Arabidopsis thaliana: one gene and its partner. The protein of the gene in region 1 interacts with the protein of each later gene in a biochemical or structural test. Each region holds a gene or a part of one and is shown in the gene's direction. Other genes may lie near its edges.

What was found. The genes of interacting proteins can lie anywhere in the genome.
Region 2: the proteins of PUX1 (region 1) and CDC48 form a complex in vitro, tested with the Arabidopsis thaliana proteins (one study listed by BioGRID).

Annotation. Positions count from the first base shown.
Region 1 is NC_003074.8:10,084,899-10,091,115, reverse strand, and holds PUX1 (plant UBX domain-containing protein 1), read left to right. Parts: upstream 1-1,855; 5' UTR 1,856-2,038; coding exon 2,039-2,125; intron 2,126-2,323; coding exon 2,324-2,420; intron 2,421-2,508; coding exon 2,509-2,580; intron 2,581-2,768; coding exon 2,769-2,836; intron 2,837-2,911; coding exon 2,912-3,041; intron 3,042-3,120; coding exon 3,121-3,225; intron 3,226-3,559; coding exon 3,560-3,756; 3' UTR 3,757-4,010; downstream 4,011-6,217. Other genes in the region: AT3G27320 (alpha/beta-Hydrolases superfamily protein), read right to left, coding at 1-809; G6PD5 (glucose-6-phosphate dehydrogenase 5), read left to right, coding at 4,342-4,510, 4,784-5,001, 5,101-5,186, 5,264-5,327, 5,401-5,587, 5,672-5,829, 5,912-5,980, 6,069-6,127. UniProt on the Arabidopsis thaliana protein: Regulates CDC48A by inhibiting its ATPase activity and by promoting the disassembly of the active hexamer.
Region 2 is NC_003074.8:3,016,649-3,024,230, forward strand, and holds CDC48 (cell division cycle 48), read left to right. Parts: upstream 1-2,600; 5' UTR 2,601-2,845; coding exon 2,846-2,874; intron 2,875-3,023; coding exon 3,024-3,186; intron 3,187-3,475; coding exon 3,476-3,704; intron 3,705-3,830; coding exon 3,831-4,597; intron 4,598-4,681; coding exon 4,682-4,903; intron 4,904-4,992; coding exon 4,993-5,064; intron 5,065-5,147; coding exon 5,148-5,792; intron 5,793-5,881; coding exon 5,882-6,184; 3' UTR 6,185-6,404; downstream 6,405-7,582. Other genes in the region: AT3G09830 (Protein kinase superfamily protein), read left to right, coding at 551-928, 1,016-1,276, 1,351-1,473, 1,554-2,048; AT3G09850 (D111/G-patch domain-containing protein), read right to left, coding at 6,749-7,582. UniProt on the Arabidopsis thaliana protein: Probably functions in cell division and growth processes. Interacts with certain SNAREs as part of specialized membrane fusion events where vesicles from the same organelle fuse (homotypic fusion).

The DNA of each region.
Region 1 (6,217 bases):
ACCAAGGAAGCACCAAAAGCATCAACTATATGCTTATTAACTTCTGATTTCTTCACCTCACCTCCAGGTCGTCGAGAATTTCCCATCGACTTATTACATTCAGCCAAATTCGCCTGCTTCCCCAGCCATTTCAACACCTTGAACCCATCCTCACACGCAGCAGGATACCGATTCTCAGGCGCAAGCCTGTACCCGACTGCCAAAACAATGATGTCACAGTGCTTCGCCATCCTTCTACAAAAGAAATCATTAGCCACTGAGTCATTACTTCCACTTACCCATCCACCACCATGGAACTGCAACATCACAGGAAGTTTTCTAGAGTTTCCACCCGACGACGACGGTGCGTATCCTCTATACACGTCGGAGGATCCTGCCTCAGGGGAGGACGAACCAGTGGTGTAACCGTAACTGTTCCTTCTAGATTCTACCTTATGAGACAACAACGAATTAGACGAACCTAAGCTATTTCTCCTACTAAGAAGATCCGATCCGGCGATGTTGTTGAGAGTTCGAGCCTTACCGGAATAAACACAGGCGGAGGTACTCGGTTCAAGCGGCGTAAGAGCAGATTCCGGAAGAAAAATTCGTACAGATAAAGAAGTTAACGGATCGATATGAATATCTTTGGTTGCAACACCGTCGGTGAATAACGGATTCGGAGCAGCGACGGATTCTTCGGGTCGGGTCGTGACACCAAATGGATCCGAGGAAGATTCATCACCGGAAGATTGAATCCGGTTTTGTAAACGGTGTTTCAAAAGGAACTTGAAGAAGACACTGTAGAGCTTCACACCAACGCTTGGCATTGGAAACACCTTTTGTGAGGTTACAGAGATTTATGGATCCATGGATAGAGGAAGATGAAGAGAGATTGAGATGGTGAATTGCGATTGCATTGAAATTAGGGTTTGTGGAGTGTGAAGATTGCTTCGATTTAGAGCTTGAAGGTGAAAGATGAGCGTTAATAGAGACAAGAAGGATACAACAAAAAGATAAAATTAAAATAAGCAAAGAAGAAGCTTAGGTGGGAAGAGGCTATCAGATTAATAAATTTTCATTTTCGTAGCACAATACTTTTCTTTAAAGGTTTTATTTTTTCCTTTTAATGGTTGGTACTTTATTAATTTCAGGTGGGTAAATACTTTTATTTTGTACAACCTAGATGGCACATATTTATGTAATAACATTTCTTGTCGATATGCCATGTACAAAATGATTACATTTATTTCTTTGTATTTTTCAAAATAATTTAATGTTTATATATTACAAATGAATAAGACAAAACTAAATATTTTTCTCTTTTGTAATAAATATTTCTCAAAAATTCATTAATCTATCATGAGTTTCGAAATAACAAAACTAGACATAAGGTTCGAAAATTCAACAATCGCACTGAATCTTGAGCTGTTTATGTTGCTTATGCTTAAAACCTTACATATATGGTTTGAATGAATAATGGTGATTTGCTAGAAAATTCACCTGATCGTTGATTAGACGACCAAACTTCATCATTTTACCATTTCACTTGTTTAACTTGCTCACTTATCTTTTTATTATTTTGGCATTTCAGATATTTATCTACTACATCTTGCACTTACAAAATGAAGAACACAAAATTTCTCTATATTTTTTTGAGACTCCAAATCTCTGAGATTTTTTAATATTGGTTTAGATTATGAGAGATGCCAATGTTTTTTATTTTAATTTTTTTTTTGATTTTTTTGTTATATGGATTAAGTTGTATATAAATTATTTTGTTGATTTATAAATTTGACATTTCAACAAAAAAAAATAGTTTATTTCATACATTTCATTTTGTTTAATAGTTTAAGTCTTTAAGACTTGTGGTTTACTTGGGGAAAAATTAGATAGAAGAAAGAGGGGTCAAAAAAATGAAAATAAGAAAGAGGGCTTATCTGTAAAAAAAACAAAACATACTGTGCTTAAATTGAAAATCACCTAAAACAAAAGCGCCTCCGGTATATAGACGGTGGATTTGCAGCGAGCAAGTAAAGAATAACTTGAACCGGGTCTGATGTTTGTTGATGACCCTTCTCTACACACCTTGAAACGCAGACGACTCGAGATCACCGATTCCATGGAAGCTTCTTCTTCAGCTCAGGTCTAACTTCATTCTTCTTCTTCTTCTCCCTCATTGATCTATATCATCTGATTCCTACTTCCATTTCGATTTTCATTTGATCCGAAATTTTTCTGTTTCTTCTTCTTCTATATTTGGGGGTTCCCGCAAAGTTTTCTAGGGTTTTTCCATTTCTTGAGTCGAATTCAATATTTATTTGATGGATTTTCGTAAAATTAGGCTAAAATTGCTGATATGCGAGAGAAATTAGGGCGAGAGGTTCGTGTTTTCGAGACTTCGAGTATCTCACAGAGACCAAGTCAAGTTTCTAGTGCTGGTAACTTTTTTGGATCTCTGATTCTTATATTGCATTTGATCTGAATTTGAACAAGTCTTGTGATTGATTGTTTATGAAAATTCCACAGACGATGAATCTGATGATTTCTACGAGTTCACACCTGCAGATTTTTACCGCCTTTTGGCTACTAAGAAAGAAGGTAACATGTTCTGAAGAATCTGTATGGTTTAGTTTACATTCTTCAGCCATTTCCATGAAAATTTTGCAAATCTTTGATCAAATCCAACTGTGTTTGTCATAATCGGAATGTATTGCTTGCTCTAAAGAAATCAGTACCTTGGTTGTTTAATTCTTCTAACATGTAATGTTAAATTACTTATACAAAAGATAAATCGTTGAAGACAAGAAAAATCCGGGAAGCAGAAGAAGCTGCTCGTCGATCAAAGCTCACTAAGGTTCTTTTTACTATTGGTTTCATGTTTGGGAACTAGTTTTATCCCACTGACTATCTATAGATTGATACTGTCTAGGCTGTAATCCGGGTTCGTTTTCCTGATAATCACACATTGGAGGCAACATTTCATCCATCAGAAAAGATCCAAGGCTTGATTGATCTTGTCAAAAGAGTAGTTGCCCACCCAGATGTTCCTTTCTACTTGTGTATGTTTCCATCACTCAGATTTCAGATTTTACATTTGTCAAGAGAAGAAAACTTGATAACGTGCCATCTTTTTGTCAGATACAACTCCTCCCAAGAAACAGATAAAAGATTTCTCACAAGACTTCTACTCAGCTGGGTTTGTTCCTGGAGCCATTGTCTACTTTTCAAACGATCAACCTAAAGGTTAGTTTCTGTCATTACCTTCACCCAATACCATAGTCTTTCTCTGGGGAACTTTTTTGCATTGCGATATGTACGGGATTATAGATTTAGTAAGTGAGATCTTTTTGAGGGATGGATAACTAAACTGCACGAGGAATTGTCCAGAAACTTTCAAACTTAGGAATGAAATAGTTTGATAAGAAGTTTAGGATCATGTGAATACATAGGGAATACTAATCTTAGAAAGCTGGTTAAATTAGGTATAATATTGATTCCCCTTACATACTAAAGAATTTGTTGTGAAGAGGACTGTGTTCTGAACTTATCTTTAAAAAACCCAATGGTTTTTTTGCAGATGATGGTGGTAGTTCAACTCCTTATCTTAATGAAGAGATTTTGTCACTGAAAGATTTAGAGGCCATGACCAAAGCCGTGGAACCGGTTGAATCGTCATCAGAGCCAGCCACGGTTGACTCTAGTGCTGTACCTGTTGAACACGAGCGTAAATCCACAGAGAAGAAGACCACAAAGCCTAAGTGGTTTAAAATGTGATTTCACTTTGTTTCTCACATAACAAGAAACATGTTACCTTTGAAAAGTGACAGTTCCAGTGTGTCGGCATCACTTCACAGTAGCAATCTTATTGTGTCGGTATGGGCTTTTAATATCTTGGCTCATTTGGATTTCTTGGGCCTAAAAGTTACTTTCATTATAGCGTTTTCTTACCTGTCTCGTTCCAAAGTAGAAGAAACTAAATGAATGCATTGCGCTACGTTATATTAGATGAATGAATTTGGTATTATAACAAACAATGACGATTTATTGCATGAATTAGTATATAACACTAATTATGTCAATTGGGTTAAAGACATTTTGTGTTAACACTATTTTGTGGTACTCACCAAAAAAAAAAAAAAACACTATTTTGTGGTGGCTGATAAAAAAAAAATGATAGTAGTTGTTGCCTTGTTGGGCAGGTGAAATCTAACGGTCAAAAATGAATATGAAACTCGTAAATTATTGGGAAAAAAAACAACGTCGCATTTATTCTTTTTGACTTTTTCGTTTCCAAAAAATATCTCAGCATATCTGATCATTACCACTTTCCATTAAACTAACCTTACAATAATTCCCTTAATGGTTTCACGTAATTATAATATTAGTTTCACTACTATCCATTTACAAACAGTCCCTTTATTTTTAATCATCAGCTTTCTAATTTATCTATATAAAAATTCGAACTATCAAACTCCACCCCATAACAAAATTCTCCAAACTAGTGAAAATTTTGTCGCCACCGTCGCAGGTAGAGAGATCTCTTCTCGTAATCTTTGTTGATCCGTTTGATTTCTCGACGAAATCTGATCCATACAAATTACTTATCATTCAATTTTCGTATTGATTCTGTGTTTTATTTTCGCAGTTATGTTATAGCCTAAGTTAAGAATCTTTATCATCTTCATGAGACTCGAATTGTTGGAAAATGTTATAATTTCACAAGTAATCTTTGATTTCATGATTAACCAATCAATCAATCGTAACACAATGATTCCAATTTCACTAAACTTCAATTTTACAGGTTTGTTCTGTATTTTGGTTAGAGTGTTAAAAAACTATTGGAAGATGGGTTCTGGTCAATGGCATATGGAGAAGAGGTCTACTTTAAAGAATGATTCGTTTGTAAAAGAATACAATCCAGTCACGGAAACTGGGAGTCTCTCTATCATTGTTCTTGGTGCTTCTGGTGATCTTGCTAAGAAGAAGACTTTTCCTGCACTTTTCAATCTATTTCATCAGGTTTTTTTAAACAAACAAGAATCTTTTTTATCTTTTATTGTTTTCAATGTCACTTGTTTTTATTTATTTGATGTGTTTATTGGTTTTACATGAGCACAGGGATTTCTTAATCCAGATGAAGTTCATATATTTGGATATGCAAGGAGTAAGATTACTGATGAGGAGCTTAGAGATAAAATCCGCGGGTTAGATGATCCGATCCGGTCCGCCTTTTTGTTGCATCTGACACAATGAAAAGCTTATATTATCATGTTTTATGTAGATATCTTGTTGATGAGAAGAATGCATCTAAGAAAACAGAAGCTTTGTCCAAGTTTCTAAAGCTGGTTAGTCTGTTTCATTTACACAGTTATAGTCCCGTTTGTTTTTGGTAACTGAAAATACAATTTTCTTGTATAGATTAAGTATGTGAGTGGACCTTATGATTCTGAGGAAGGGTTTAAGAGATTAGACAAGGCGATTTTGGAGCACGAGATATCTAAAAAGACTGCTGAAGGATCTTCGAGGAGATTGTTTTATCTTGCACTTCCTCCGTCTGTATACCCTCCTGTAAGCAAGATGATCAAGGCATGGTGCACTAACAAATGTGAGTTTACTGTTAGATTTTGTTAACATTATTAGATAGAGAATATTTGGTAATAACTTCATTGGAAATGTATATTGTTTCCAGCTGATCTTGGTGGATGGACTAGGATTGTTGTTGAGAAACCATTTGGAAAGGATTTGGAATCTGCAGAGCAGCTGAGTTCTCAGATTGGAGCCTTGTTTGAAGAACCACAGATTTATCGTATTGATCACTATCTGGGAAAAGAGTTAGTTCAAAACATGGTAACACATATTTGCTTCTAGTCATTAGTTTATTAATTTAGACAAATAAAGATATAATCTAACGCATTCATCGTTAGTGCAGTTGGTTCTTCGGTTTGCCAATCGCTTGTTTTTGCCACTATGGAACCGCGACAATATTGCAAACGTACAGGTGAGAGTTTGATCGCTTAGCACAAATATTTCTAAACTTTTGTATAGAGTTGAATCCATCCACATAAATCTCTAATTTCTTTTTGCAGATCGTTTTCAGAGAAGATTTTGGAACTGAAGGTCGCGGTGGATATTTTGATGAATACGGGTAAGCTTTTCTCAGTGTTTCATTTGAATATGATATACATGAGACAGAAGTATCATTGCATTCTGATGACTTGTATATATAATCTTCTAT
Region 2 (7,582 bases), 7.1 Mb from region 1:
TCGGAAGCTTAGCTTCTCAAATCCTCGATCTCTTTTGTATCGTGATTCATTAACCACTTCATGATAATTATAATCTTCCTTCTCTTCTGACGATTGAATTACATCTTCTTCTGATAGCTGTTCTGATTTTTTTCTGTATACAAAGTAAATTCAAAGGTGAGAGTTGTGTCATCTTTTGCTTTTTATATACTTGTTCAATAAGTCAAAGTTCTTTATGTTGCTGTTGGGTTTTAGTTTATTGGAATCAACTTGCGAAATTTGATTACTTTTAGCTTCGAGATCCCTTCTATTACTCACTGGAACTTAGGGTTTGTGTTACTTGGAAAAGAATTTGGATCTGTTGGGTCTAAAGGCCTTCCTCTCTGTTAAGTGGTTTTGTACTTGGGGGAAGCCTTAACTTTGGAAATGCTTGTACTTTGCAGATTAGTTGTTCGATAATATGCTTCAATGGTTTTGATTTTGTGGTTCGGTATATGTTATATGATCATTATCAGTGTTTTATTGGTGTCCTGCAGTGGACAAACATCGGTATTTTAATCTCCTCTCGATAATGAAGTGTTTCTTGTTCTCTGGTGGGGATAAGAGAGGGGAACAGAAGACCCCTATTTCGGTTTCATTGACCTCTATCTTCTCTGACCGCGAAATAAACCGAAGCGGGTCAGAGTTCAACTCTCGTGATGTCTCTGGGACGAGCACAGAATCATCCATGGGGAGGAAGAACTCGTACCCTCCGGTGTCTACTAGAGCAAGTAATCTCAGAGAGTTCAGCATTACTGATCTCAAGTCTGCAACAAAGAACTTTAGCCGATCTGTTATGATTGGAGAAGGCGGTTTCGGTTGTGTCTTCAGGGGCACAGTGAGGAACTTAGAGGACTCGTCAGTTAAAATCGAAGTCGCAGTGAAGCAGCTCGGTAAAAGAGGGTTGCAGGTATGTCTGTTTTTTCCAATCTTGTTCTCAAGATCTGTTACTCATCCACTGGTTTAACACTATTATCTCATTTCTTGGATGTTGCAGGGGCATAAGGAATGGGTTACGGAAGTGAACTTCCTCGGAATAGTTGAGCATACAAACTTGGTGAAATTGCTTGGCTATTGTGCAGAAGATGATGAACGTGGAATCCAACGGCTTTTGGTTTATGAATACATGCCTAACCGAAGTGTTGAATTCCACTTATCCCCTCGGTCACTCACAGTTCTTACTTGGGACCTCAGACTGAGAATCGCCCAAGATGCAGCTCGCGGATTAACATACCTGCATGAAGAAATGGAGTTTCAGGTAATATGATGACTCTGCTACGTTACTGATCTCATTTCACTCTCTTGACTAACTTTTATTTATTGGCTTTTCAGATAATATTCCGCGATTTCAAGTCCTCGAACATTCTTTTGGATGAGGACTGGAAAGCAAAGCTCTCAGATTTCGGTTTGGCTCGTTTAGGTCCATCTGAAGGATTAACCCATGTTTCTACTGATGTAAGTTCTGCATTCACTTCTTTTGGTTGCAAGATTGAAAAACAGGTATGTTTTTGAACGGGTTTCTTTGGCTTTATTAGGTTGTAGGTACAATGGGTTATGCAGCACCTGAATACATTCAAACCGGCCGTCTCACATCGAAAAGCGATGTGTGGGGTTATGGAGTCTTCCTCTATGAGCTTATCACTGGGAGGCGACCGGTGGACAGAAACAGACCCAAGGGAGAGCAGAAGCTTCTAGAATGGGTGAGACCTTATTTATCTGACACAAGGAAGTTCAAGCTCATATTAGATCCAAGGCTGGAAGGGAAGTACCCGATCAAATCGGTTCAAAAGCTAGCAGTTGTGGCCAACAGATGTTTGGTTAGGAACTCAAAGGCACGTCCCAAGATGAGTGAGGTTTTAGAGATGGTGAACAAAATTGTGGAAGCTTCTTCAGGAAATGGCAGCCCACAGCTAGTTCCGCTGAACAGTGTAAAAGCTTCGAGAGACGCGAGAGGAAAGAACAATGGTGGTGGCGGTGAAGGAGGTTGGTTTGGCAAGTTATGGAATCCAAAGACAATAAGAGCTTGTTGACTGCTTATAGAATTCAACCTCTTCTTACAGCAAAAAAAAGAGTCAAGAAAGGTTTCATGGAGATTCCGAAGGTTGAAGATTCTAGCGAGATCAAGATGAAGCTCATATACATACATAAAGATAATTATATATGAAGATTTGTGAAAGATTCTAAAATGATGAAATATGATTTTTGTATGAACTTATGAATAGTAACCACAGCTAAATTAGTAAGATATGTATATTAAGCAAGAACGGCTTATCAGAGTTTTGTTCCAAAGCTGATCAATCTACTCGTGCTTAAGTGTATATTTGTGGTAATGTGTTAAGAGTTCCTATTAATTACCATAAGTAAATCACAAACATAAATAAAATGAAAATAATTATGGGCTTTAAGGTCTGGAGGACTACTGAAATTTGGGAGAAGTAGTTGGAAAAAGAATATTAGTCGATAGGTAGGAAATTGATATTGCTTGTGGAATGGAGGAAAAAATTGAACGAAAAAGAAGTTTCTAGAATTCTAATCACATAACATAAATAGGGTGAATATTTGGGAAAAGTAAAACAATAGGGGTCGGTTTGATATTACTAGAAGATAAGAAACAAAAAGGAAAATAAGAATAAAGGAAAAAAAAAGAGCTCTCTTTTCCAACAAGAAACGTAGAGAGATATAATTAGAGAAAATCTGTGCTCTTTCAGATCCCATTATCACAAATCCATCTCTCTCTCTCTCTCAGAGAAGAAACCAAAGAAGAAGAAAAAGCTCTCAACTTTCTTCGATTTCTCAGGGAACTCTTTCGTTAATCTCAAACTCAATCATGTCTACCCCAGCTGAATCTTCAGACTCGTAAGTACCCAGATCTCTGATTTTGGTTTTCCGATCGGGATTTTTTTCGGATCTTCTTAAAGTCTGGGTTTTTCGATTTTGGGGATTAGGGTTTTGGTTGATCTTGTGTTTCTATAGTTGAATCTTAATCTTCTTTGTTGTTGTTACAGGAAATCGAAGAAAGATTTCAGTACTGCTATTCTCGAGAGGAAGAAGTCTCCGAACCGTCTCGTCGTCGATGAGGCTATCAACGATGATAACTCCGTCGTCTCTCTTCACCCTGCAACCATGGAGAAGCTTCAGCTCTTCCGTGGTGATACCATTCTCATCAAGGTTTGGGTTTGCTTTTGTTTGTTTGGATTCTCTTTTGATTGAGATATTGAATGGTTGGTTTCTGTCTCTATGAAGAGACATAATTTAGGGTTTTTTCTCCTTGCTTGATTAATGGATTCTTATGTGGTTCTACATAAACTAGGGTTTGTGGTCTTTTGAAACAAGTGATTTATGATCTTAGGTATTATACAAAATAAAAAGACTTGCTTTTGTACTGATCCTGTCTTGGTGAATGATTCGTATTAGTAGTCTTTATGAGTTCTTATTTGGTTTGGATTTTGGCTTTCAGGGTAAGAAGAGGAAGGACACTGTCTGCATTGCTCTTGCTGATGAGACATGTGAGGAGCCAAAGATCAGAATGAATAAAGTAGTCAGATCTAACTTGAGGGTTAGACTGGGAGATGTTATATCTGTTCACCAATGCCCAGACGTCAAGTACGGAAAGCGTGTTCACATCCTGCCTGTTGATGATACTGTTGAAGGAGTGACTGGAAACCTATTTGATGCTTACCTGAAACGTAAGTTGCCTTTTTGTTTTAGATCCTTATCCAGTTATGCAATTTTGATTTTTCTTTGGATGTTCTTGTTTGGTTTGAGATATTATTAGAGTGATTTCTTAACAAAGATTGAATTCTTTTCAACAGCTTATTTCCTTGAGGCATACCGTCCAGTGAGGAAGGGTGATCTCTTCCTAGTCAGAGGAGGAATGAGGAGTGTGGAGTTCAAAGTTATAGAGACAGATCCTGCTGAGTACTGCGTGGTTGCTCCAGACACAGAGATTTTCTGTGAGGGTGAGCCTGTGAAGAGAGAGGATGAAGAAAGGCTAGATGATGTAGGTTATGATGATGTTGGTGGTGTCAGGAAACAGATGGCTCAGATTAGGGAACTTGTTGAACTTCCCTTGAGGCATCCACAGCTATTCAAGTCGATTGGTGTTAAGCCACCGAAGGGAATTCTTCTTTATGGACCACCTGGGTCTGGAAAGACTTTGATCGCTCGTGCTGTGGCTAATGAAACGGGTGCCTTTTTCTTCTGTATCAACGGACCTGAGATCATGTCCAAATTGGCTGGTGAGAGTGAGAGCAACCTCAGGAAAGCATTCGAGGAGGCTGAGAAAAATGCGCCTTCAATCATATTCATTGATGAGATCGACTCTATTGCACCGAAAAGAGAGAAGACTAATGGAGAGGTTGAGAGGAGGATTGTCTCTCAGCTCCTTACGCTAATGGATGGACTGAAATCTCGTGCTCATGTTATCGTCATGGGAGCAACCAATCGCCCCAACAGTATCGACCCAGCTTTGAGAAGGTTTGGAAGATTTGACAGGGAGATCGATATTGGAGTTCCTGACGAAATTGGACGTCTTGAAGTTCTGAGGATCCATACAAAGAACATGAAGCTGGCTGAAGATGTAATTTTCTAGTCATAGCTTTTTCTGTGTTTGTTGAGTGTAATGTTTATTGAATGCTAAATTCTTCTTGTGGTTGTTTTCCAGGTGGATCTCGAAAGGATCTCAAAGGACACACACGGTTACGTCGGTGCTGATCTTGCAGCTTTGTGCACAGAGGCCGCCCTGCAATGCATCAGGGAGAAGATGGATGTGATTGATCTGGAAGATGACTCCATAGACGCTGAAATCCTCAATTCCATGGCAGTCACTAATGAACATTTCCACACTGCTCTCGGGAACAGCAACCCATCTGCACTTCGTGAAACTGTGAGTATTGACAGTACTCTGCTTAGAACGAGATCAAAGATTGTATCTTTGCGTAAATCTCATTCCAAATTTTCTTCTTTGCTTTGCAGGTTGTGGAGGTTCCCAACGTCTCTTGGAATGATATTGGAGGTCTTGAGAATGTCAAGAGAGAGCTCCAGGAGGTAAATTGCTAATATTTACTTTTGCTTGGGTCTGTCTATTAATTGTAATTTGTAACCTGAGCCGTGTGATTGTTCAAATGCAGACTGTTCAATACCCAGTCGAGCACCCAGAGAAGTTTGAGAAATTCGGGATGTCTCCATCAAAGGGAGTCCTTTTCTACGGTCCTCCTGGATGTGGGAAAACCCTTTTGGCCAAAGCTATTGCCAACGAGTGCCAAGCTAATTTCATCAGTGTCAAGGGTCCCGAGCTTCTGACAATGTGGTTTGGAGAGAGTGAAGCAAATGTTCGTGAAATCTTCGACAAGGCCCGTCAATCCGCTCCATGTGTTCTTTTCTTTGATGAGCTCGACTCCATTGCAACTCAGAGAGGAGGTGGAAGTGGTGGCGATGGAGGTGGTGCTGCGGACAGAGTCTTGAACCAGCTTTTGACTGAGATGGACGGAATGAATGCCAAGAAAACCGTCTTCATCATCGGAGCTACCAACAGACCTGACATTATCGATTCAGCTCTTCTCCGTCCTGGAAGGCTTGACCAGCTCATTTACATTCCACTACCAGATGAGGATTCCCGTCTCAATATCTTCAAGGCCGCCTTGAGGAAATCTCCTATTGCTAAAGATGTAGACATCGGTGCACTTGCTAAATACACTCAGGGTTTCAGTGGTGCTGATATCACTGAGATTTGCCAGAGAGCTTGCAAGTACGCCATCAGAGAAAACATTGAGAAGGTTAGAGATCCCATCGCCAAGCTCTTTATCCAAAGATTGTTATACTCTCCAATCGTTGAACTGAAGCTCATGTTTTTTTTTTGTTTCAGGACATTGAAAAGGAGAAGAGGAGGAGCGAGAACCCAGAGGCAATGGAGGAAGATGGAGTGGATGAAGTATCAGAGATCAAAGCTGCACACTTTGAGGAGTCGATGAAGTATGCGCGTAGGAGTGTGAGTGATGCAGACATCAGGAAGTACCAAGCCTTTGCTCAGACGTTGCAGCAGTCTAGAGGGTTCGGTTCTGAGTTCAGGTTCGAGAATTCTGCTGGTTCAGGTGCCACCACTGGAGTCGCAGATCCGTTTGCCACGTCTGCAGCCGCTGCTGGGGACGATGATGATCTCTACAATTAGTGATAACTTCTTTATCCTTTTTTTTTTTAAGTTTTAAAACTCGAATTCTCTACTTTTGGATTACTGGGGAAAGTGATACTGATTCTTTCCTCGTGTTTTTAAGTTATCCGAATCTCTTGTGTTTGGGTTTTAATCAATGTTCTTAATTTTCGTTTCAATACTTGTTTGGTCGTTCATTACAAATGGAAAAAATAAAGGATTATAAAGTAAGTTAAAAAGATTGCAAGTGATAAGTAATTGCTTTATAAGTGGTAAGTATCACAAATGTTCCCACTTATCAGCAATTTCCGCATATCAATGTTAATGCTCTAAGATCGGTACTTTCTTTTATAGAATCTTGGAGCCGAGGATGTATTTTTTTTTGCATCAATGGTGGTTAAAGAAGCCAAAAGAAAGGATGCTTTATTATGTCAACAACATTGATGTCAAGATAACAACAAAGCTGCTCCCAAGTCTTAAACATAAATTGAACAAAGGCCACATGTTGAAGATTGAAGATGAACATACTTAAAAACGATATCTTACTGTTCTTGTTCAAACATTGACCGTTAAATACTTCAATGTTTAGCCTTCAGCACCTATTCCACGTGCTCTAGGACGTCTGACAGCGACCAGCGGATTGACTATGCCTTGTGACTCTCTACCCAGACCCGAGCCTTCGACGAAACCCATTCTCGCCATCATCCTCGACCCAAAGCCTGTTGTGTGCTGCTCAAAGGCTCCCAATCTTTTGTCCCTGATTCTTCCTGAACCAGAGGCACCATTGTCATGGGTGATGCGTTTCCCATGTTTCCCGGAGGACGAAGATCTGTTCCGTTTAGCGTTGTTATTGTTATTACTTGACGGACTCGGGTCTTCAGTGTCAATGGAGAAATCCAGACCTAACCCAAGTGATTTCGGACGCTGAACAGCTTCTATTGGCTGTGCTATCCCCTTACCATCCTTTCCTAGACCACCTCCATCTATGAATCCCATTTTAGCCATCATTTTGGATCCAAAACCTCTGGTATGTACCTCAAATGCTCCAATGTCTGCTCCATTAGAGGTTCCCGGAGTAGTTTCAGCTACCTCTTTTGCAACTTTTTCAACTGAGGTTTTTGCAACAGCTATCTCAGAATCGATTATGCCACTTGACACAAATGATACAGGTTGATCAGCATAAGAACTCTTCTTCCCATTGCTTTTGTTTCTCTCCCGTTCCTCTCTAGTAGGTCGCTTTTTAGCTGAGTCTTTTGCTTTTTTCCTATCTAAACTTCCAGATTTCCCTTTTACCCCTCCACTGACAGCAAAATCACAATCCTCATCTCCAGCTCCTATTAGCTTCTCAATGCGAAGTTTATCGCTGGCAGATGGCATACATGTCTGATATGTTCGAGTCACCGTCACAAAGCTTTTCTT